Linked DNA regions of Alligator mississippiensis. The protein of the gene in region 2 purifies or fractionates together with the protein of the main gene of each other region. This does not show direct contact. Links are inferred from orthologs where the notes say so. Each region holds a gene or a part of one and is shown on either strand. Other genes may lie near its edges.

Region 1 (8,028 bases), on a different chromosome or scaffold from region 2:
GTTTTCTTAAATAGAAGGAAAAGTTGCAGTGGCACAAATTCCTCATTTTAAATGTGCTACAGCCCATAATCAAGGGCTGGATACAAAGTCCCATCATAATCCATCAACATTGCAGTTGGCCAAAAGGGACTGAATTCTGTCCCAAAATTGTCTCATGACTGTATTTGTAATTATGTAATATGGTTACACTTGCAGCAATGTGCTTTCTTCAGTTTACAGTCTATAGCCACTTGAATGCACAAGAAGGTTTACACCCTGAGAAAATAAAATGGTCCTAATATAGTAACAGTAACTATCAGTAGTTAAGGAAATTTCAGTGTTATTCAGCATTATAAAGGTGAGAAAGATTTACTGTACTTTACTCTAGTACTACTTTACCACTTATTTTAACATTTGTGTGTCTAATCAACTGTTCTACATATATAAGTATGATAAATGCATGTGCAACCACACACTGTTACATGAAATTATACATCCATATATCCATCATTCAGATGCAGACTTAACCATTAACTGAAGTTATTCTTGCATCTCAGTCCTCTAATACTGCTTAAGGTAAAGGGAGTGTAACAGCACTTGGTGACCAAAAGACTGCAACACCAAACATAAGTAAGCACTGGAAACAATTTTTTTTTAATTAAATCTTTCATTCCAGTGTCCATCAGATCAAATAGGCCAGATAAATATATAGTATAGTAACAAAAAGGAGTGGGTTATTACAGGTAGCCACCTCTCCATTTACCAGTATATCTCCACATTCTCTGTCATTTGCAAAGCATCCCCCATCCATGCACTTTTATTTGTACAGAGGAAAATGAAAAGAACTCATTAGTTTCATTCTGGGAGTAAGAAAATGCCTGCATTCTTAGAAAGAAAAGATGACAGCAATAAATTGACTCCCCTACACAGGTCAGTAAGATGCTCTGATCTCACAACAGTACTTGTTTTTCATTTATTTCTACGAAGTGTCATTTTCAAAGAAACATGGATAGCGAGTTAATTGAAATCAGAAAGAATCTGTAATAACTGAAAAAGTGTCTGTAGAATAAACTGAAATGTCAGAAGAAGGGAACCACACAATCAAGAGTGGCTAAGAACCTAATATTCATGTGTCAGTATTAAATACAAGACCTCAATCTTTCAAGGACTATTGCGGGTGGCTTAATTTTATGTAGGTGAGTAACCTCATAAGCCTGAAAGGTCAAAAGGGTCTGCACAATTAGGGACCAAAAAAAGAGAAACTGTTGCTATTTACAGCAAAAACTGGATCTTTACCATATATTATGACATGAGCCCCACTATAATGTTAAAATAGTGGTTTATAAATATAACCCCCCCCTTCAACAAAATATATGTAATTTCTGTAACACAAACCAACCAAGCTCTAGAAGTCAATCATAAGAGTCAATAGCCACAAGTTTTCAGTCTGATCATGTTTGCAGTAAGTTATTGTATTGAAATACAGTATTAGCACTGCTGAAACACAGGAAACAAGACGCACAGTTAAGTGCCCTGCCACTGTCCCAAGTTAGTCCTACTTCAAGAACTGAGTTAACGCTGACCAAACTAGCTCCAGAAGCAACTGGGTCCCAAAATTTACTTCACTTACAGTCTTTGTTATAACTGGGCAGTGGGGTGCTGTTTTTATTATTACTCCAGTGATACTGAATCAAGAGTACTAAGTACATGATGCACCCATTATACTAGAGCTGAGAAATCTGGTGACAGGAGCTGCTGCTTTGAAATTTAAATGCTTTATAAATCACAATCAAACAGTGTTGCAATATGCTCTAATTGGAAGGGGGTGGGGTTGGGTTTTTCTTAAAACAGCAAATTTCTGACCTACTGCTGCAAGCCATAAATACATCCAGGTACAATTATACACAGCAGATCCCTTAAGCCGGTTTCACTACAAAGAGAAAACTATTTCACTGGGACACGCTGCTCTCTCCATATTTTCCCCATAACTAAAATGCTTTTCTATGCACTTATAAAAGGGAGTCCAAATCTGCCCACCCCCTCCAGGACCAGACTGGGATCTCGGACAGCAAACAGCAGCGCTATTTCCACATGCCCAAGTCATGAGGAAGGTAATTCCTTCCCCTCACTCCAAGGAAAGATGAGAAACCGCCTCCCTCTGCTGGAACCAGACTCGGGGGCTTCACAAGGCCCGGTGCCATGGGCCAGCTGCTGACAACGGGCCGGAGGCGACCCCGGGGGGTGAAAGCCCCCTCGCCTCGCCCCCGCCCGGGGGCAGCCGCCGTCCCGGGGACTCCCCCTTCCTTGCGGAAGGAGGGGAAGTCTCCCTGCCGCGGCCCCCAGAGCCCCCGCGTCATTGTGCTCGGGGCGAGGCCCGCAGCTGTCAGGGCGCGGGAGGCGGGGGCGCTGCCCGGGCCTGCAGGCGGGGCGCGGGCTGCGAGCCGGCAGCCCAGGCGGGCGCCATGCTAGCAACCAAAATGGCTGTCCCGGGCACAGCAGCCCCGCGCAGGCCGTGAGGAGCCGGGCCGGACGCGCCACCAGGTACGGTACCGCACCGCGCCGCGCCTCTCCCCGCGTACCTGCAGCTCGGCCCGCTCCACCTCCCAGTGCGCGCGCTCCATCTCGAAGCGCGCCCACTCGTGCTGGATGTAGTGCAGGATGCCGGGGATGGTGTAGTGCTGCGGCCGCGACAGCTCTGCGCCGCCCGCCGCCTCCTGCCCCGCCGGCGCCGGCGCCGCGCCCGCCTGCCCTCCCCCGGCACAGCCCCCGCCGGCCGCCAGGCTCGCGCTGCCCGCGGGCGGCTGCTGCGGCGGCGGCTGCGGCCTCGGAACGGCCGCCATCCCGCCGCCGGCGCCGGGGTGCTCGTCCATTGTCTGCGGGGAGCCTCCTCCTCCTTCGGGTCCGGCGGGCGGGGCGGGGCGGGGCGGGGCTGGCTGGTGGGGGGCGGCCGCTGCGGGCGGGGGCGGGGTGGGCCGGGCCGGGCTGGGGCAGCAGGGGGAGGCGGCGCCGAGCGGGGTGCGAGTGTCAGAGCCGCGCCGAGCCGCCGCTGCCGCCGGCCGCCATTACAGCCGCGAGCCCTCGGCCTGACTAGCCGCCCACTGCGGAAGGGGGGGGGGGGGGACGGGCGCGCGGGGCACGCCGGGAAACCACCCCCTCCGCGCGCGCCGGACTGCGCATGCGCAGCTGAGCGGCCCGGTGGGGGCGCGGGCCGCTGGCCGTGGTCTCTAGGGCAGGGGCCTGGCGTGCGGGGGCGGAGCGGCCGCCCCTCCCCCCCCCGGCAGCCGCATTCCTCGGATGCTTCCGCTGGGGCCGCCCCAGCGCTGCGCTTCCCCGGCTGCGTGCGGGGGCTGGGAAAGGCCCCACGTGTGAGCGGTGCCTAACGGCCAGTCCCGCGTCGTTTCTTTCTGAACCAGAGCAGCCCCGAGTGTGCGCGTCTAAACCTGCCTCGTGTACCCACCTGCGCCGCGATTTGGGGGGTATACGTCTGTACCTGTACAGGAACATAGATAAAAGACATCAAGTTATCTAAAGAATTTTTTCTGGCAAAAATCTTGTTGGTCTAATATACCTCTGTCCACGAGTCAAGTTTTCTATAAAGAGATTGTGTTATCTGTCATCAAGATCTATAGATAGATTCATATATCTTTTTATAAAATAAAGATGGAAGATCTCTTTATTAGTTATAAAGATTAGCTCGATTACAAATTTTTCATGTGTGATCATGGCAGGTTATATTTTTTATTTGTATTTCGTTTTGAAAAATGTGGGCAGTTTTTCAAGCAAATGACTGACTTGCCAGAGAAATCAAAGCACCACGCAACTCCAATGCTGGTTGTAGATCTGCCAGGACAAAAAAAGGACATGGAAAAACATTTTTTTTTTTAAGTATTGCCCTTATTAACAAAGGACTATTCTTTTTTTCCCCCAAGAAGTAATTTAAAAACCTCTCCTTCATTATTTTGTAATCTTTCCTTAATCCGGGGTCCTTTCCCCAGGGAGAAAGTCTTGCAAATATTTATCACCATGCTTTGATTGGTTTCCCTGCGAAACTGGTAGCAAATTCCAGTTTTCTTCCTTATTACTTATGAGATGTATGCTATCTTCAGTCTAAATCAGGTCAGACTGTCACAGATTCATTGCCCTCAATTTCAGCAGTAATGACAGGCATATAAAGACAAATTAATTTCAGCTATCACCTCCTGCTTGAAAAAAATTGTCACCCATAATTAAATGAAAGAGGGTGTGGTTTCATCTTTCCCACAAACATATCTTTAATAACAGTTTCTTAAACAGGTTCTTTTACTAGGTGAATCAGAAATTGTATCAGTTGCTCAAGCATGGACAAATTCATGTACCATACATGGTTTTTAATCCTATGGATCCACTCTAATGACTACCTCCTCTGCTCCTTCAGGATAGGCATCTCTCATTCATGACTATGTTCTCGCTTGTAACTTCCTCCTTCTCAGCTACTGAGTTACTTTTTAAAGATTTTCCTTAAAACCTTCCTCATTGCATTAGTCCATGACAAACCTGACCCTCCATTCTCTGCTGACTAGCTGTTCCTCATCAGACATTCAGCTAATTCAGTCAACTTCCTTTTACTCAATTTTCCCTTTTCTTTCTGTTTGAAAGTTACTGTATTGAGCTCTGGTATGCATATGCTCTCTTTCTACAACTCATCATAAACCATTCTGTAGTACTTACGTGCAAGTCCTCATAAAAAATGTATTAACACAGGCATTTAAAAGAATTATGGTTAACAACTGAATCACATTGAGGGCAGTAAAATTCCTAACAATTTTCACTGCTTATATTAGTATCCAGTGAAAAACAGGAAAGATTATATCTGGTAAAATTATAATTCCCCATGGAATTTCCATGCTTTTTTCAGTCTATAAGCATATAGTATTCCTTGACAATTAAAAGGAATTGGGAGAGATGTTTTGCTCTTTCCTTCCTCCCTAACTTCCTTAGATTAGTGAAGGCTTTGATTTTTTTTTTCTTTCTTTCTTTTTTGGTCAAATTCCTAGCCCTTGAGTTGAAGCTGTTTTTTCTACCTCAGGTCCCATGAAAGAAGTTACTTCACCATCAGAACTAATGCAGTTCACATAACAGGAGGTCAGGGCATTGTTTTTACTACAAATGATTAGGAGTACTAATCAACTTTAATAGTTCTAGATGAATGGCTTAAAGATCTCTAAAAACCAACAGGCCTTGTCCCTGCTCAGAATCAAGACTAGCAGAAATAAAGGAGGTTCTTGACATATAGAATCTCTTCCTTTGCTGCACACCTTCCTTTGATTTGGCAATAGGATCATAGCCACATGTCTGGTGTACAAGGAATTCATAATCATTTGTACCTAATGATGAATCATTTGTACCTAAAACACTTGCTCTTACCTTATCACCCACTAGCTTTTGGCTTTATAATAGATTCACCTTTTTGTGCCCTTCACCTATTCCTGCCCAGCCACTCTTCCTTACCTTTCAGCTACTTAGTGTTTTTTTTCGCTTCACTTTTGCTCCATTTCTTGCTACTCTCATGTGCATCACATGTCAACCTATATATAAAGTGGGTGTATGTGGACATGCTATTACAGTGACACAATAAACTCCAGAGCAGTTTGTACTGGAGTTAACTGCTCCAGGGCATGGCATTTACACATATCTCTCCAGCAATTAAAGCTAGGGTGGAGCAGCCCAGGGATCCGGCTGGCAGTGGCGGGCAGCACAGGGGTCTGGCCCCTGGCTGGCTGGGCTGACCAGGCGCAATTTGCACCCAGTTGTAACCATCCACATGAGCATTTGATCGCAGTTAAATACTCTGCTGTAAGAAAGTTCTATCCCTGACAGTTCTCTTACAGCAGAGTTAATTTACTGTGCCCTAATACCAGGACACATATAGACGGTGACACTTTACTTGCAGCTAATTAGTGAACTCCGCAGTAAAGTGCGCGTGTAGATGCACCCAGTAGATAATAAAAACACAGCCCTCGCTCCAAAACCGTATATGTCTAAGTGACATATGGAAAGCCAACAAAATTTAGGGACTTGGGAATCACAAATCAGTTGAAGTGAGATGCAAAATTTTTTTTTTTTAGATAACTACAGGGGATTTAGGCAAAACTTAGGCTTCTAACTCACAAACAGTGACCTTGCTCTGGCAGCCACAAAATAACTTAAGGCAGTGCTTCTCAAACTATCTGATGTGGTGGACCGGCAATTTTTTTTCCAGTGGGCCAGGGACCGGTGCCTGGTTCAGCCGGTGGCAGCAACTGCATGTAACAGCACTACACAAACGTGTGACCGGCTGTTGCTTTCTCTTTCCTCGCCTCGCACGACATGATGTCACCTGCAATGTTGGAACGTACGAACTGTGGCGCTATGACATATCAATGTTATGCTTCTGAAAATATATTTCTTTCTTTCCCGGCAACTCGCTGCGGACCAGCCGACCGGTGGCTCGCGAACCAGCACTGGTCCGCAGACCACCACTTTGACAAGCACTGACTTAAGGCACACAAAAAATTAGGTCCTTCCATTTTGCTCAAGGAGAATCCTTAGGTGTCTGGTTTAAGCTTGTGACAGTCTCAGAAACCATCTAGATCACACTGAAGTTTCACCTGTGCTCCATTGCAGTCTCAGTGGTGCTGGGCAACGCTGATGGTCTGCCTAATGTTCTGATGTGTTATGTGTTTGTGGAGCTTGCTAAACACACTTCCAGGATTATTACTATTTTTAAACTAATAAATGTCTGATATAAGAGGCATGACTGATCCTGGTACCACATGTTCCCCACACCCAGAGGAGTCTCCACCACACTGGGCTGCTGAGGCATTTATCTACTTGCTCTTTCTGGCTCCTTGAATTTTGTGTTCTGGGCTATCCAGTAGTCCAGCTTCCCATAGAGGGCCCGCCCTGCCCAGAGTAACCTTAGGCTGAAAATGCCTAAAACTCAGATCTCCTTCCTGAGCAAGTGTACTAACCTGTCGATAGTATTATGTAAAAGGTGGGACATCACAAATGCTGCCACCAAATATGTGCTGTCTTACATTGAACTTGGTTTTGATGTTAGCATGGAGAGAGGCTTCCTGGTTCAGGGAGGCACCTATGTTCTGGCTCCTAGCTCTGGTTCTGGCTCATAGTTTGTAAGGCTGAAAGGGACCTTAGAAGATCATTGGGTCCAGCCCCCTGCACCAGGCAGGAAAGACAGCTGGGGTCAGGTGACCCCAGCAAGGTGACTGTCCAGTCTCCTCTTGAAGATTTCCAGTGTAGTTGATTGCACCACCTCTGGAGGGAGCTTATTCCACAGTTTTCCTAATGTTGAGCCTGAAATGGATCTTCCAGGAGTTTGTGGCCATTACTCCTGGTTTTCCCCAAGGGTGCCCTGGTGAACAGTTGTTCACCGAGCCCTTGATGTATTCCCCTGATGTAGCAGTAAGCTGCTACCAAGCCCCTCTCAGCCTTCTCTTTTTCAGGCTAAAGAGTCGCAGGTCCCTCAGCCTTTCCTCGTATGGCTTGCTGTGCAAGTCTCTGATCATATAAGTGGCTCTTTGGACTCTCTCAAGCTTTCCCACATCCTTGTTGATGTGTGTCACCCAGAACTGGACACAGTACTCCAGCTGCAGTCTCACCAATGCTGAGTAGAGCAGGAAAATCACTTCCCCACTCTACTCAGTTCGATTGATGCATTCCAGAGTATTATTTGCCATGCTGGCTATAGCATCACACTGCCGGCTCATTCTTACTGTGATCTATTATTACCCCCAGGTCCCTTTCGTTCATAGCTCTGGTCAGTTGGGCGCTGCCAAGCCTGTAGGTCTGTAAGGGGTTGTTCATCCCCAGATGACCACTTTACATTTCTCAGTGTTGAACTTTATCTGGTTCTGACTTGCCCAACTTGCTAGCCTGTCTAGCTCTGCCTGTATCTATAGTGTGACCATGCTTCCCCATAACTTGGTGTCATCCATGAACTTGGCCAGTGAGCTCTTTACCCCCACATCCAAATCACTGATAAAGATGTTGAGAAGTACTGGACCAAGCATG
Region 2 (7,302 bases):
AGGCATCTGATGGCTCAATGGACCAGGGGCGGGAGGGACTCAGTGCCTGAGCACCCCACAAATGGGGTCGAGGTGGAACACAAGTATCTGGGGCTGGATCCCAGCCTCCAGGGAGGGGTGGGAGAGTCCTGGAGGAATCCAGGCATCTGGGGGCCCCAGGGAGAGGTGGGGGGACCCGGGGAAACCCAGGCATCCGGGGACACACCCGGCAGTCGTAGGTGGCATGGGGGTCGTCGTCACAGGCAATAACCTCGGGCGCCATCCAATAGGGCGTGCCAATGAAGGTGTTGCGCCGGCCCACTGTGCGATCCAGCTGTGCACTGACCCCGAAGTCAACTGGGGGGAGGCAGGGACGGCAGTCAGGTCCCGCCCCCAGCCCTACCCCCGCCCCTGGCCCTTCCCCCCAGAGAAGCCCTCATCTGAGCCAAGGAAGGGACCCAGGTGCCCAGGGCTCAAGACAGGAGAAGATGCAGACATCTGGGAGAGAAGTGGCCCAGGTATCTGGGGGGTGGGTCAGGGGAGGAGCCAGGCATCTGGGGGCCAGGACAGGACAGGACCCAGGTGTCTGGGGGAAGGGAACCTAGGCATCTGGGCCGTACCCAGCTTGACCTCAGCGTTTTCGGTGAGCAGCACATTTTGCCCCTTGATGTCACGATGAATCACCTTGTGCGCGTGCAGATGGGCCAAGCCCTACAGGAGTGTGGGGGGAAGGAAATCAGCCAGGGACCCAGATGTCCAGAAATCCCTTGTCCCCCCAGAGGCCCAATAGGACCAAAGAAACCAGGTATCTGGGCACCAAGACCCCTTTCCCCGCCCAAAGTGAGGACAGTCCCAGGCATCCAGGCTTTGCTGTGGTCCCTGCCACTCCCAGCCTCTCCTGGGCAAGTCAGGCATCTGGGCTTCCAGTCACTCCCCCTGCCCAGTAGAACCCAGGCATCTGGGCCCCAGGGGAACCCCGGTGTCTGGGGGGGCCCACACACCCGCAGGATCTCGCGGCAGACATAGGCGATGACGTCCTCACGCAGCGCGTGGCCCTTGGAGCCCTTCACCAGGTCAGTCACAGATCCAGCGCCGCAGAACTCCATCACCAGCTGGAGGGGGCACAGGGGGAGGGGTGTCGGTCACAGACTGGGGGCACCCTAGGATCCCCTGAGCATCCCCTCGACCCCCCACCTCCCCAGCTGTGGGAGGTCCAAGCTCCTCTTTGGCCCCCTCTCTTCCCCTCAAGGGGCTCAGAGCAACCCCCGTTCCCCCCAGGCCCAATCTGAACAGACCCTTAGGACCCGCCCTCACCCAGAGCTGGTCATCATGCCCTGGGGGGCTCTTCTTGACAAAGGCCCCATAGTAGGTGGCAATGTTGCGGTGGTGCGAGTACTTCTTCAGCATGTTGATCTCCTGCTTGATCTCTTCTTCCTCGTCCTGGGGGGCCAGGGGGTCAGCTCCCGACCCGCAGCCCCTGTCCATCCAGCCCTGCCGGTGCCCCTCACTCCCGACCCGCAGCCCCCTTTTCGTACCTCAGTAACATCCATGACCTTGATGGCTGCCAGCTGCCCTGTCTTGACATGGCGGCCCTAGGGGGTGAGGGCATCAGATGGGGGAAGGCAGTGGGCCACCTGACCCCACTTCCCTCCCAGGAACCCCAGCTCCATGGCCATCCCCCACCACTGGCTCTCGGTGGGGAGCCCAGGCATTGGGTGTGCAGCCCCTCCCCACCAGGCTCCTGTCCCCTCCCAGAGAACCTAGGCTCCCGTCCCCTCTTGCCCTGCTCCCGTAGCCTGCAGCACACACCGTGGGAGCCACGTGACAAGGACCGTGAGGGGCAGCTACAGTCATGAGGGGCCTGGAGAGGCCGAAGGGACTCAGGCTTCTGGGTCTGCAGGCGGGGGGGGGAGGATGGACTGAGGCATTTAAATTGGTGGGAGGGTCTCACCTTATAGACCTGCCCGTAGGTCCCATTGCCGACGACTTCTACCAACTCGAAAATCCCAGCAGGGTCCTGGGGGGGAGAGGGGGGGCAGTCACAGGGTGGGGAAACCAGCAGACTGCCCCCACCCCCTTCCAGGGGCAGGGCCTGCCTCAGGGCGGGGGAAGGGAGCCAGTGAAGCCCCCCCCACTCTCCTTGGCCTGGTTTGGCTCCGGCAGAGGATCCCAGTGGGGGCTGGAATGGGGTCATCGGGGCGGGGGGGTGTACAGCTCCTGACACATGTGGGTTGCGGGGGAGGGGGGACCTGGGGAGCCCAGGAGTCCGCCCCACCACCCCCCCATGCAGGCAGGCTGGGGCAGGCCCACGGCATGGCACAGCCGCACCTGGGAGCAATGCCAGATCTGGCCAGGAGCTGCATAGGGGGAGGGGGTGTTGGGGCAAGGGGTTCCTCGTGACCGGGGGCAGTACTGGGTGCAATGCAGGGACTCGGGGGGGGGGGGGGGGGGGGAGGGGGACCGGGAAACCCGCCGGCTCCCCCGAGGTATCGCACCCCTCGGTGACCTGTCTGAAGGGAGAGATACGTGGATCTCCGACCCCAGCCCTGACCTTTGACCCCAGCCCATAATAGGGGACTACCCTAACCCTTCAACCCCCTCCCCTGGCGCAGACCCCATGTCCTGCCCCCGGACCCCTTTGACCTCCTGTCCCCTCCCCTCAGCCGCCCTTGACCTTTAAACCCCGCCGCCTGCCCAGGGCCCGGACAGGCGTGACTTCTGACCCCGCTCTGACAACCCCCCGGCGACCTTTGACCCCTACCCTTACCCGCAGGGCGGAGAGGTCGATGTCGTCCAGGCTGCGGGCGGGGGCGGGGTCCGCCATGCTGGGGGCGGCAGGGGCAGGGGCGGCACCGGGCACGGGCACCGGCCCCCGGCGGCCGCGGCTCCGCGCACCGACTGCCAGCACCGAACTGCGCATGCGCCGCCCGGGCAGCAGCACCGAACTGCGCCTGCGCCAGTCTTGGCGCAGGCGCAGTGTGAAGGAATTACCAGGAAGCATATGTGCAGTAAAGGGCACGATTACCTTGGTACGCATGCGTAGCTGGCCCGGGAGCAGGGGGCGAATCCCTGTTGTGAGCATGCGTGTAAAAGTGAGTAGGAGGGGTTTAGGTTGTAGCCGTGTTGGTTTAAGGACGTAGGCAGACAAGGTTCTTTGGGTGAATTTGATATTTTTTATTAAACCAACCCAAATAGTTGGAGAATATTTATTAAGCAAGCTTTCGGGTTCAAAAACCCTTCGTCAGTGGGTGGGAGGACCTCACGAAACAGTGAGCAATGCGCATGCGCTCCTGCGCTGGAGAGGAAGGTGGGCAGCCCTAGCTCCGCGCCGGCGCTGAGGAGCCGGACTGCTGCGCATGCGTTGGAGACCGAGTGAGAGGCGTGGGGAGAGCGAAAGGCGGCTGTGACTGCGAATGAGCACAGGGAGGTGGCGAGAGAGGTGCTTCCCGCCTTGTTTTCAATTCTTGGGGGCGGGGCTTGCCTCGGACAACTAGAACTGAGAGGGCGTGGTCTGTAATGGGCGAGGCTTGTTGGGGATGTGGCCTTAAGGAGGGGGGCATGCCCCTCCCTCCCCCCCCTTATTTCCCGTGGCAAGTGACCCCCACCCTGCGGTGCCCACTCCCGACTCGTGGGTGTGTCCCGGGGGCGTATCCAAGGGGCGGGGCCATGTCTAGTACCAGGGCAGCCGGATCGGGGCAGCCATGGGGGGGCGCAGGGACCCCCCGACCGGGGAAGCCCAGCAGGTGAGGGGGCTCCAGGGCACTTGGGTCTCCTGCCTGTGGGGCCCTGGCGAGCAGACGCGTGGATCCCCTGGGCAGGACCCCCAGGTCCCTCCATGTTGAGGTGGGGGGTCCTCCACAGCTGCCCTGGTCTGTGGGGTCCCCAGGTTTGCTCAGTCTGGCAGGGCAGACACCTGCGTCCCCCGCACCCTCTGCATCCAGACGCCTGGGGTCCCTGCAGGGTCTGGGGGGGGCCCCAGCTGGGGACACCTGGTCGCAGGCTGCTCCCAAAAACAAGTGCGGAGGGAGGTTACCCCCCCATCCTGTCTGGCGCCCAGGCATAGCCCTATAATTATGGGTCCAGGCGCCAGGCTGGCAAAACACAGAGTGGGTAGACAGCTCCACCCAGCCCCAGTGACCCCCCCGCCCTCTCCCAGGGTCGGATCCGGGCTCGGCTGCTGCGCTGCTTCCTCTGCTCCCGGACCCGGAGCCGGAGCCCAGGTGAGACACCCCCCCCCATGCACACCCCCTCCTCCAGCTCTAACCCATGACTCTCTGAGACAGGCGAGGGATCCCCATACTCTGCTGTGATCCCCTATTGCTCTCTCTCCCCACCCAGGTACAATGCAGCCCCAGGACCCCCCCAGCCCACCAGGGCCGGATCCAGAGCCAGGAACCCCCCGGGCCTACTTCAGCGGCAAGGCACGTGTGTCCTTCCGCCACCAGCTGGATGCCCCTCTCGAAGTGGCCGGCTGACATGGACAAATCCGCAATCCCCGCAGCACTGGAGCCCCCCGCCCTGGTGAGAGAGGAGGTGCAGGGCACCCACAGCCCCTCAGCAATGACACCGAGCTGGGGGGGGCACGGATCCAGAGACCGCCAGCCATGGGAGGACTGGAGTAGGGGAAGTGTCCTGGAGATGAGGGCAGGGTCCTGCATCCCACGCGGGACAACCCCAGGCCCCAGGACTGGCTTGGACCAAGCAGGAAGGGGTCCGATCGCCTGCTGGGAACCATGGGGGGGAACCAAGCAGAGCCCACCCCCCCCACCCCTGAGGCCCCTCCCAGCCCTGCTGCTCTAGGATCCGATGGCATGGGGGAGGGATCGCATCCCAACCCCCCCACATCCAAATGCCTCAATAAACAACTCTGCGGTGATCAAATGGCATCTGGTCTGTATTGCTAGGAGCTGCAGGTTGGGAGTGAGAGGTACCAGCAAGGCTGGAGGGGCAGGGGGCTGCCAGGCAGGAGTGAAGGGCATTGGCTGGGCCAGGAGATTTCCCACCCCACCTTTCCACAGCTGGGGAACCCAGGTGGCCAGGGCCTAGCACAGAGGGCACAGACATGGGTGCAGATGGTCCCAAGAGCAGTTTATTGCATCTCCAGGGGCTCATGACCTGGATTAGAGATGGGGGAGCTCTCAGGGGTGTGGGAGCTGGTCTGCCTACAGCCCCTGGCCCTCGACCCCATGCTCCATGATGGCGGCCAGGTGCACCTCGCCATCACTCCAGCCACCCTGCTCTATGTCCTGTCAGCTTGGGAGGAGGCGGCTCAACACCCAGATGCCTGGGTCCACTGCAGCCCCTGCCTCCCCAGACTCCTGCATTCTTCCCCCTAGAACTCCCCCCACCCCCACAAATGCCTCCCACCAGTCCAATCCTGCACACCCAGATCCACACCAGCCCCCCCACCCCGCCCCTTTCCCCAATGCCCTAGACTCCAAGGTTCTCCCTCAGCCCCCTTCAACAGTCTCTCCCTACTCCTGCACTGCCCTGGATGCCCCCAACACCCCCAGGTCCCCCCTGTAGCTGGCACTGCCCCAACCCTCCTGCCCTAGGCTCTTAGGTTAACCCCCCCCCCCCCACCTTCCTGGCCCCCTGCATCTCCCCACAGGGTGCCTAAACCAGCTCCTGGCTGCTGGAGGGGAGTGGGGTTTACCATTGCTAACATAGTGTAGGCACTCATCCTGGCTCATGCCCAGCTAGTAGTTGGTATCAATATTCCCAGAGACTGAGACTGGCTACCAGAGCAGCATTCTGCCCCACACCAGGTACACCTAGGAGGGGCAGGGGGGGGATGTTATCTCAGCTCCATGCGGCAGGGGCTGGGGGCTGTCCCAGGCAGCTGGCTCTGGGGTGGGTCTCAGGCTAGGCACAGCAGCTCTGGGAAGGCAGGAGGGGGGGGGGGCGGGGCAGCCAGGATCTTACCTGTCCACCCTGGTATGGATCCCAGCCGGCCACAAAGTTGCTGGCATTGAACTCCAGAAAGTAGTGGTGAAGAGATGGGCTGAGAGCACCAGAGGTAGCACATTCAGCTCAATGCTGGGGGAAGGGGGCAGAGGTGGGTGCCCCACTCCTGACCTGCAGCCCCTGTCAGTGCTCCTCACTCCTGCCCCACAGGCCCCTGCCCCTGCCTTGCCATCTAGCATTGAGCACGGGTTTGTGGTCCTAAGGATCTCCACTGAAATTGCCTAGTGACATCACTGCTGCATGGGGTTTGCTGTTTCTGGCTTATTTCTTGGGTGCATGGGACAATTCCCCTGGAAACACTCCCATCTGTGGCTGGGCTAGGCCAAGGCAGCAGTAACCATGGAGCCACATCACACTCTGGAAGCAGCTCAACCAGGCAGCGTAGGCACCACACAGCTGCCAAGGAGCTGGACATTACTGCACATGTGCCAGGGGCAGCACAGGACAGCTGCAATTGCATGCATACAAGGGGAGGACATAAGGGAGGTATTTCCCTCCTTAGTTTCAAGGGGGACAGAGCTTGACCATGTGGTGAAAAAGGCAGGCCCTACAGGGCAGGAGTGAGGGGCACCAGCCCAGCTAAGAGAGCCCCCCCACCCCTTCCCATAGCCAGAGAACGCAGGCATCCAGGCTCCCAGCACAGAGCACGCAGATACAGCCATGGAAAGGTTCCAAGAGCAGTTTATTGGGCCCCCGGGGGGCGCTGGTCTCAAGCAGATGAGAAGCGTGGGAGCTTGTCCCCCTGCAGCACCTGGCGCTCGACCCCACGCTCGGTGATGGCTGCCAGCCGCACCACACCGCCACTCGAGCCGTCCCGCTCCATGGCCAGCGCCAGTGCTGTGAGAGGGAGGGCAGTCAGCACCTGAACCGCTAGATCCACTGCAACCCCACCCCCAAGAACCTCTAACAGCCACCCAGCTTCCAGGTTCTTCCCCACAATCTTCCCCACCTCTCCTGCCTTACCTGGATCCCATCCCATACCCCCCCCAGGACCATCCAGCCTGCCCTAGTACCCCACCTCCACCCGCTGCCCCAGAAGCCTGGGTCCCAACACCCTCTCCAATTTTCCCCTATAACCACCCTGGACCCCTGAGTTCCCCTCTCCCCAACTCAAGGCAGTGCCCTTCCAACACCTCCCTGGATGCCTGGGTCTGCCTACCACCTGGCCCCAAACTAGATCCCAGATGCCTGGATCCTGGGGGGTGTTACCATTAGCAACGAAGCGCAGGCACTCCTCCTTGCTCATGCCCGGCTGGTAGTTGGCATCAACGTAGCCGTAGATGTAGGAGCTGCCAGAGCCACCCACTGAGACCGGCTGCCGTGTCAACATCCCGCCCATGGGCACAGAGTACACCT
Region 3 (7,720 bases), on a different chromosome or scaffold from region 2:
TTAGTGTGGTGAATAGTGACACATTCATTCTGTGTTAAGAGCTGGGAGACTAATCCTCTTAGCACCTCCAGTAATGAGGCTTACAAACACCGCAGAGTTTGGTTTGAATGACTGAGCGGCAAGCCCTTTAGCTGAGCTCAAATGTGCAGCCCAATTGTGCCAGACCTGCTGGAAGTTTCAGTTCAAGCTGAATTTTTGAAGTGTAAGCCTGGGCCAGAGATCTCCAGAGAATACTAAATACATTCTCCAGGCAATTAAGTTCATGGTGTCCACTACCTTGGTTAATTAGAAGCAAATTGGTCTCCATGAGCTTTACAGCCTCCCATCGTATTTAACCGGTCCCTGAAACACTCAATTAAAAGTCTCGAGGAAATGTTATTTCTTACATTCCCAAACTGCTGCTTTCCAGACTACCAGACATTTTTTCTACTCTCTACCTAAAATTCAGGGAGGACTTCAATTGTTAGATGCAAATACTCCACACAAATATTCAGATGAGCATCTAGGATCTTCCCAGACTGATTGCTGTTGCACCTTTAGTATGCAAGAGTTGGGACATCCATTACCACACCCAGGACTGATCACTTCTGGAGCGTTAAAGGCCTCATGACGCTTTTTGCAGTAATAAAGGTGTTCCCCCGGTTTTTGGGCCAAGCCACAACTCTGAGAGTTACACAAATTCATTTAGACAATTAGGAACCACAAGAAAAAAAGAAATTAAGGGGAAAATAAAAAAGGCAGCTCTTTCTAAACATCCAAGTTAAAAATACTGACCACTTAGAGAAAGGCACACCGCCAGGCAATATTGTGTCCTAGCTATTTTTGGTGAGATAATTAACACAAGAACCCCAGAACGATCTCTCTAGTTAATAACCTGGGTCTGCTTGCTTGGTGCTTTCACACCCCCTACTTTTACTTCAAGCTTCCCTTTGCTAGCTGTTTTCATCTCTACTCCCCCTACACCTCCCCCAGTACTGAGCTATGCTATTTTCAGTTTTCAAAGCGAAATGCTGGCACTACATAAAAGGCCAGGACTGTCTTACTGCAGCTTTCTAAAGGCAATGCTCTTTCAACCTAAAATAAGACTGTCCCGCTTTAGTCCCACTGGACTAAGCCAGGGCCTTCCTCGAGGAGAGCAGGATGTGTTGCAGCCACTAGCTCCCTCCAGAGATGGGTGTAATTAGGCTCCATTTATGCCTCTGTACCCTTGAAAGTATTAAAATATCAAGGTGTAGCTACCCGTGTCGGTCTAAAGTCAAGTAGAAGGGTAAATTTGCACCACACAGACTAACCAAAGCAGATATATAGGCATACTATATACAGTATACAATATACGTACAGTATTAGAGTACCTTCAGCGCAGCTCTTCAAGAGGACACAATTCTGTCAGGTGCTGTGACCAGAGCACACGTCCACTACAAATATTTAAAATCAACTACTGCAATATCCTGCTCTCCTCGTAGCAGCCAGAGGCGGGTTTTTGGCTTGTTTTTTTTTAATCAATGCTGCTTTAAAGTGATTTTGCATCAGAGGGAAGACTAGAAAACAGAATAAGAAGCTCCACCAGCCCCTCGTATATGATGAAAAGCACGGTAGGGATTGCAGCCAATGGTTCTGAGCACTAAACTCCAAACTTCTGTTTTGTCCTCTACCAAACATCACTTTTGAGCCTAAATATTTAGCTCAGCAACTGACTGACACCCACAGCAGCAAATCCCATCTGAATGTGATATTCTAACACATATGGAAGATGTGAAAGTTGCTATAATTGACACTGTGCTTGCTAACAGTACTGCAAAAGACAGGGCAAGGTGGGGAGGTCTCACCCTTTTAAATGCTTGGGAAATGCCAGCTCTTATTTCTCACTATTTATGACTAGAGAGAGAGAGCAGAGCGGTTCTGTGGCTGCAAAGAAAGCCCGCGGCAGGTCCGTCAGAGTAGCTGTAAGCCTACGAATTCCTCTTTGAAATCTCCAGGTTCATCTCGAGAATCAGGATCACGCACCAAACAGCGCTAATGCTGCGTGGCCCGAAAGGATCTCCAGGAGCTGCGGCACCTGGCTCCGAATCGCTGCTTTAGAGACAAACTGATCCAAAAAGGCAGCGGGTCTCGTACGCAGCGACCGATCAACGCCTTTGAGGAAGCAGCATCGGACGCAACAGGGCATCGTCTCTGCAACCGCCTGCCGCTCACCTCTAAATACAGACCGGGGGGGTGGGGGGGGGCACGGCTTCCACCCAGCATCTCCCGAGCACGTTAACAACCCGTTAAAGGAGCAGGAGGTCAGCAGCCGCGGTCCCACGGCTCTGCCCGGAGCAGGGCTGGCCGCGAGGCCTGGCACTGCAACGAGTTTCACACACACTTTCGGTGACGCTTTGTCTGGGCTGGTTTGCACAGGGCTGGTCCTGCTTCAGGCAGGGAGGTGGACTCAACCACCCCCCCAAAACTATGGGAATGGCCCCCCAAACACCATGGCCAGCCCCCCCTCCCCCCAAAACACCATGGCCAGCCCCCCCTCCCCTCAAAACTAAGGGACAGCCCCCAAACACCATGGCCAGCCCCCCCCAAAACTACAGGACTGCCCCCCAAACACCACAGACAGCTCCCCTCCCCCCCAAAACTACAGAACCGCCCCCCCAAACACCACAGACAGACCCCCCTCCCCCCAAAACTATGGGACCGCCCCCCCAAACACCACGGGCAGCCCCCCCTCCCCCCAAAACTACAGGTCCACCCCCCCAAACACCACAGACAGACCCCCTCCCCCCAAAACACCATGGACCACCCCCCCACAGTGCTGCTAGGTCCTCCCGCCAATACTACGGCCAGCCCCCACAAAAAATACCATGGCCCGCCCGCCCGCCCGGTACTAGGACAGCGAGGTCCCCCGCGGGGCAGGGCGGCGCGGGCTCACCGCGGCCGTGGCCAGGCTGTGCATGGCGGCGCCGCCGGGGCTCGGGCCGCGCTCAGGAGGCCGCCATGGCGCCGCGCTGCCCTCCCCCCGCGGCGCCCTCTGACCCCTCCCCATGCGCATGCGCGGGGCTGGCGGGCGGCGGCAGCGCGCGTGAGCGCGCGTGGGGCATGCTGGGGGCGGCGCGGTGACGTCGGCACGCCGTGCGTGCGGCCTCACGCTGTCGCCTGGTTCCCGCCATTTGCCTTCAGCCCTCCCCCCGCCCCCTCAGGAGCCGCCGCCGCGCGCAGGTACGGAGCGGGGTGTCTCCCGGGGGGGAGCTGCCCCCCCGGTGTGGGGAGTCCCCCCCCCCAGACCTGCGGGGAGGAGCAGCAAACACGGGGCCGCGGCGGTGCGTTCGGGGACGGACACGCAGGCCCTGCCTGTTGCGTGCCTCAGTGCTCCCGCCTCTAAAATGGGCCTCATCCGCCCTGACTGCCACTCCGATCCCCTTCCCCTGCCCACTTCACTGCTCTGCTCCCTGCCCGGTCTGCCGCTCCGCTTTCTGCTCCCTCACCGCCGCCCGGCCGCGGCCCTCGTACCCCGGCCCCGCCCCGCCGGCCACCACGCTTGCTAGGGGACAGTGCGCCCCCCAACCCCCTCCCCTTTAATGCTGGAGGGCGTGCAACCCCCCTCCCCTTTAATACAAGAGGGTCCTTCCCCCTTTAATGCTGGAGGGGGTGCACCCCTCCCCTTTAATGCGGGAGGGTGCAGCCCCCCTCCCCTTTAATACAAGAGCATCCTTTCCCCTTTAATGCGGGAGGGTGCGTGCCCCCCTCCCTCCCCTTTAACACCGGCTAAACAATGGTGTCTTGTTCCCGGGCAGCCGCGGCGGACGGCGTTCGGGACCGGGCACGTTGCGAGGGCGTCGAGGCGAGTCGGTCGCTACCGATGAGCAAGAGCGAAAGGGTCCCCCTCGTTTATAAAACGTTTCTGGAGCCCGGCGGCTCCGTTAAACCGATCGGCCGTCCTGGCGTCACGGCACCGTCGGCGTGCTCGGGTTTTAACGCAGAATAGCATCGTACGGGTTGCGTTTGGGGTTACGTGTGGGTTCCCTTGGGAAGCGGTTCCCTTTTTTCTCCGTGGTTTCATAGTTGTTAGGGTCGGACGGGACCCCAGTACACCATCGAGTCCGAGCCCGCGCCCTGGGCAGGAGCGAGCGCGGGGCCGGGTCAGTCCGGGTCATCCCTCTGTGAGGTCACGGACTGTCGGCACAATGACGTCGTTCTTCACGTTCTGTTCCTCGCCTGCGTCACTGGGGATCCCGCGGTGCTGGGTGTCATCCCGATCGCAGCGCGGGTTAGCCGGTAGAGGAGATCGGGGTCACGATAATACGAGTAGATGACGGCGTGACTTTTGTCTTTTAAAGAGGTTAGGTGCTCCCTAAAAAATGCTTCTTGTGTAAATTCACCAGGACTTTGCAGAAGTTGCAGGTATAGATTTCCTTGAAAACTTTCTTTTGACGTATTTGGTCTCAGCCAAAATCGGGCTTGTTTGGAAAATCTGTAGGGTTTTCACGGAGGTTTTTCAAGGTTATTTTTTTTTGGTGTCTATTCAACACCCTTTGGTGCAGCTTATCTTCAGAGGGTAAAATAATTAATGCTCTGAAAATTGGGGTTTTTTTGGTCCAGCAGGCATCTGGAGGTAATAACATGAAATCGGTTTGTTGCTGTACCTCCCAGAAATGTTTTTTACACTTTCCACAGCTATTTTTATTTGCCAATTGTACGTCTCTCTTGGACAGGTTTCAAGGTGGAGCCAACGCAATCTCTTGTAAGTTTAATAGCAAGACAACATGGCTCCGCTGAAGGTACACGGCCCCGTCCGGATGCGTAGTATGCAGACTGGGATTACAAAATGGAAAGAAGGAAGCTTTGAAATAGTGGAGAAGGACAACAAAGTGAGTCTAGTGGTTCACTACAATGTTGGAGGAATTCCAAAGACATTTCAGGTACACCAACTATCGAGGCTTTTTGTCTGAGTTGTGCATAGATTGTGCCCTTTTGTGACCAGCTGTCCTCTCTGAGACTATTAAGTGTCACACAGACTTCCCTCTGAGACTGTTTCTTGTTCCTCGTTTCCAGCACACTAATCCTTTTGTCTAACCCTGCTGTAAATTATTCAGGTGTTCTGGTAGGTGAACTGCCACACCAGGCAGGGAGCGCACCATTAATTGGGAAGAAATGAGACCTAGAAACCACGAAAAGAAGACAGAGCTGTGTAGCACCTGGCCTCTCAGCTTGTTGGAAATCCAAACCCTTTCACCTGATACACTTACACAATCGAGATGAAAGTCTACTGGGACCTCGGGGCCTTTTCTACTCTGGTGCTTTTCCCAGTTGAAATGCTGAAAAATTCCAGTGTGGATCTACTGGTAGTCTTTCTGCTTACTGATGTGAGGCTCATCTTCAAAGTGTTGGCCTGACTAAGTTTTAAATGCTTCAAGCAGTGTGACTTGCACCATCTCTCTCTGGAGATTTGAGAGTGCTTGCTGTCGAGAAATCTCTTCCAATAGTCAACCTTATTTTTCCTCCTTTCATTTGCCTTTTGTTTCTCTTAATTTATTATTTTTAATGCAGTGGTGCCCTACGTACATTTTGTCCAGCTTACGTGAGGAGATTGTAAGCTCTTTAGAACCCGTACTGTCTAAAAATCCCAAACAGACAAAGAATTGAAGGAAAGAGCATTAAAAGCTCTTGGGAATTGCTGTAATGGACTGGACCCATGTAAGATAAAGTGTAATTCTGCGTGGTTCTTCCCTTAAGTATTACTGTGTACTTGGTAAGGTCCTTCTGACCTCATGAGTCTTGGGCAGTGGTGGTACCTAGAAGGGACTGGGAGGATTTACTGGTTCAGGAAGTACCTGTTGCATCTGTTTTCCTAGATGCGCAGCAAGCTACTGCACTGCTGGCAGAGATTTTTAGCTTAATTGATGGGAAGATTAAATTTCTTGTTGTAGAAATCATAGAGGGCAGAAGTAGGACTGGAAGGGGCCTTCCCAGGTCATCTAGTCCAACCCACTTCCTGAGGCAGGATCATCCCTATCCCAACCATCCTGTACAAGTCATGATCTAAACTCTTTGTAAAACTATTGTCACCCCTGACATAACACCAGGCGTCACACCCAAACCTGCCATGGGTGAAGCAAGGGGACTATGACAGCTAGCAGCCTGCTTCTATAAAGGTTATTAATATATGCTCAAGAGATCCCAGAAAGAAGACCATATCCCCCTGCTACAGAGGAAGGTTCACCCCAGATATGATGTTGGTCTGACTCTGAGAGGGGGAGAGAGACAGGAAGCGGGAACGTCAGGCTTGAAGTCCTAGCAAGTGCACTGGCACAGCCCAATCCCCATCTCCAGCCTGGGTTGCAGCCAACACCCAGTGCCACGAAGGGAGGCTTAAAAACCCACTGACACATGCAGCAGAAAGTTTGGGAGGGGGGGAGCAACCAGCAAAGCCCCGCAGCCCGGAGCACCCCCACAGCAGAGCACGGGCATCGCTGCACCTAGATCCTTCCCACCCAGTGCACATCCAGCCTTTCCTTGAACCCTCCAGTAATCCTCTCCTTCCCAGCGTAGTGGTGAGATCCTGAGATCCAATCTAAACTGACTTTGCTGCAACTTCAAGCCATGGGTCTGCACCCTCCTCTCTACAACAAGAGAAAAAAGAAGCTTTCCCTCTTTATGGCAGTCCTTCGATTATTTGAAGGCTGCTGTCATGTCTCCTTTTCCACAAACTGAACATGCCCAGCTCTAGCCTCTCCTCATGTGACTTGCTTTCTAAGCCTTTTATCAGCCTTGTTACCTGCTTGCTGTCTAGACTCTGTCCTGTGCTGTCAATGTGTTCTGTGAACGTTTTGATATAAAAATGCAGATAAACAATGCTGAACGCCTTATCTATCGCAAGTGACAGAAAGCTGTTGCAGTGGTGATTTAAAATGTACGTGACTAAATTCTCAGCAGTCAGGTGACACATGCATTGCAATAGTGGTTCCTCTTACATGAGGCTTTGGCAGAAGTGTCAGCCCTTTTTCATCTTCCGTTTCAAATTCATCAGAGAATTAAGCAGTCAACTTCTAGAAGAAATGAAGAAAATCTTTCTAGATGCTGTAGAGTTGTTGGCTGTAGACGTGTTGGTCTAAAGGCATAGACAGACAAGGTTCTTTAGGTAAATGTGATAATCTTTTTTTAGACCAACTAAATAATTGGTTGTGAAGAATAATTTTTCCAACTATTTAGTGGTCTAATAAGATCACGTTTACCTAAAGAACCTTGTCTTTCCGGATTTTAGCAGCTTTTCATACTCCTTATGTTACACTGCTGCTTAAAGACTTGTTTGACTTAGGTGCTATACGGGAACACAATAGGAAATGCCATGAAGGCCTTACAATCTAGTTGAAATAAGGCATGGCAAACAAATGCAGATTGTGGTGGATAATAAATACTGTTGACTCATTAGAGTTTTTCAGCTGGAGGTTTGGACTTGGATGGTGACATGAAGGAGAGTCATTCTCTTCTGAAATAAACCCATCAGGGAACAAAGTTTTGCAGACCCTCTTGAATTCTTACTGACTGAACATGTTTAGTTCAGTGTGCATTGGGTAATTGGGAAAGATTGGTGGTGGGTAATTTCACCAGTCAAAACACCCATTTACTGCCTGACATACTTCATATATGGACTTGTGTGTTACTTATATTGGCTTCTCAAAGCTAAGGAGTAAAGACACAGGAAAAGGTGGCTGTAGTATAAGTTCCCCCCATGCCCCTT

The links. Proteins that work in one complex are often made in the same cells at the same time.
Region 1: the proteins of MINK1 (region 2) and STRN3 purify together in Homo sapiens (affinity purification with mass spectrometry; 3 studies listed by BioGRID and IntAct, with this or other methods). This does not show direct contact. The link is inferred for Alligator mississippiensis from reciprocal best matches to the Homo sapiens genes MINK1 and STRN3.
Region 3: the proteins of MINK1 (region 2) and CNOT9 purify together in Homo sapiens (affinity purification with mass spectrometry; 3 studies listed by BioGRID and IntAct, with this or other methods). This does not show direct contact. The link is inferred for Alligator mississippiensis from reciprocal best matches to the Homo sapiens genes MINK1 and CNOT9.

What each region holds. Positions count from the first base shown.
Region 1 is NC_081825.1:253,306,552-253,314,579, forward strand, and holds the start of STRN3 (striatin-3), read right to left. Parts: upstream 3,025-8,028; 5' UTR 2,850-3,024; coding exon 2,559-2,849; intron 2,521-2,558; exon of another isoform or gene 2,399-2,520; intron 1-2,398. UniProt on the Homo sapiens protein: Calmodulin-binding scaffolding protein which is the center of the striatin-interacting phosphatase and kinase (STRIPAK) complexes.
Region 2 is NC_081838.1:23,812,103-23,819,404, forward strand, and holds the start of MINK1 (misshapen-like kinase 1), read right to left. Parts: upstream 3,017-7,302; coding exon 2,747-3,016; intron 1,997-2,746; coding exon 1,931-1,996; intron 1,572-1,930; coding exon 1,515-1,571; intron 1,420-1,514; coding exon 1,294-1,419; intron 1,092-1,293; coding exon 981-1,091; intron 691-980; coding exon 600-690; intron 337-599; coding exon 206-336; intron 1-205. Other genes in the region: uncharacterized protein C17orf114-like, read left to right, coding at 3,681-3,722, 4,136-4,199, 4,318-4,454; PSMB6 (proteasome subunit beta type-6), read right to left, coding at 6,656-6,783, 7,156-7,300. UniProt on the Homo sapiens protein: Serine/threonine kinase which acts as a negative regulator of Ras-related Rap2-mediated signal transduction to control neuronal structure and AMPA receptor trafficking.
Region 3 is NC_081827.1:253,766,530-253,774,249, reverse strand, and holds the start of CNOT9 (CCR4-NOT transcription complex subunit 9), read right to left. Parts: upstream 3,025-7,720; 5' UTR 2,939-3,024; coding exon 2,915-2,938; intron 1-2,914. Other genes in the region: USP37 (ubiquitin carboxyl-terminal hydrolase 37), read left to right, coding at 4,746-4,901. UniProt on the Homo sapiens protein: Component of the CCR4-NOT complex which is one of the major cellular mRNA deadenylases and is linked to various cellular processes including bulk mRNA degradation, miRNA-mediated repression, translational repression during translational initiation and general transcription regulation.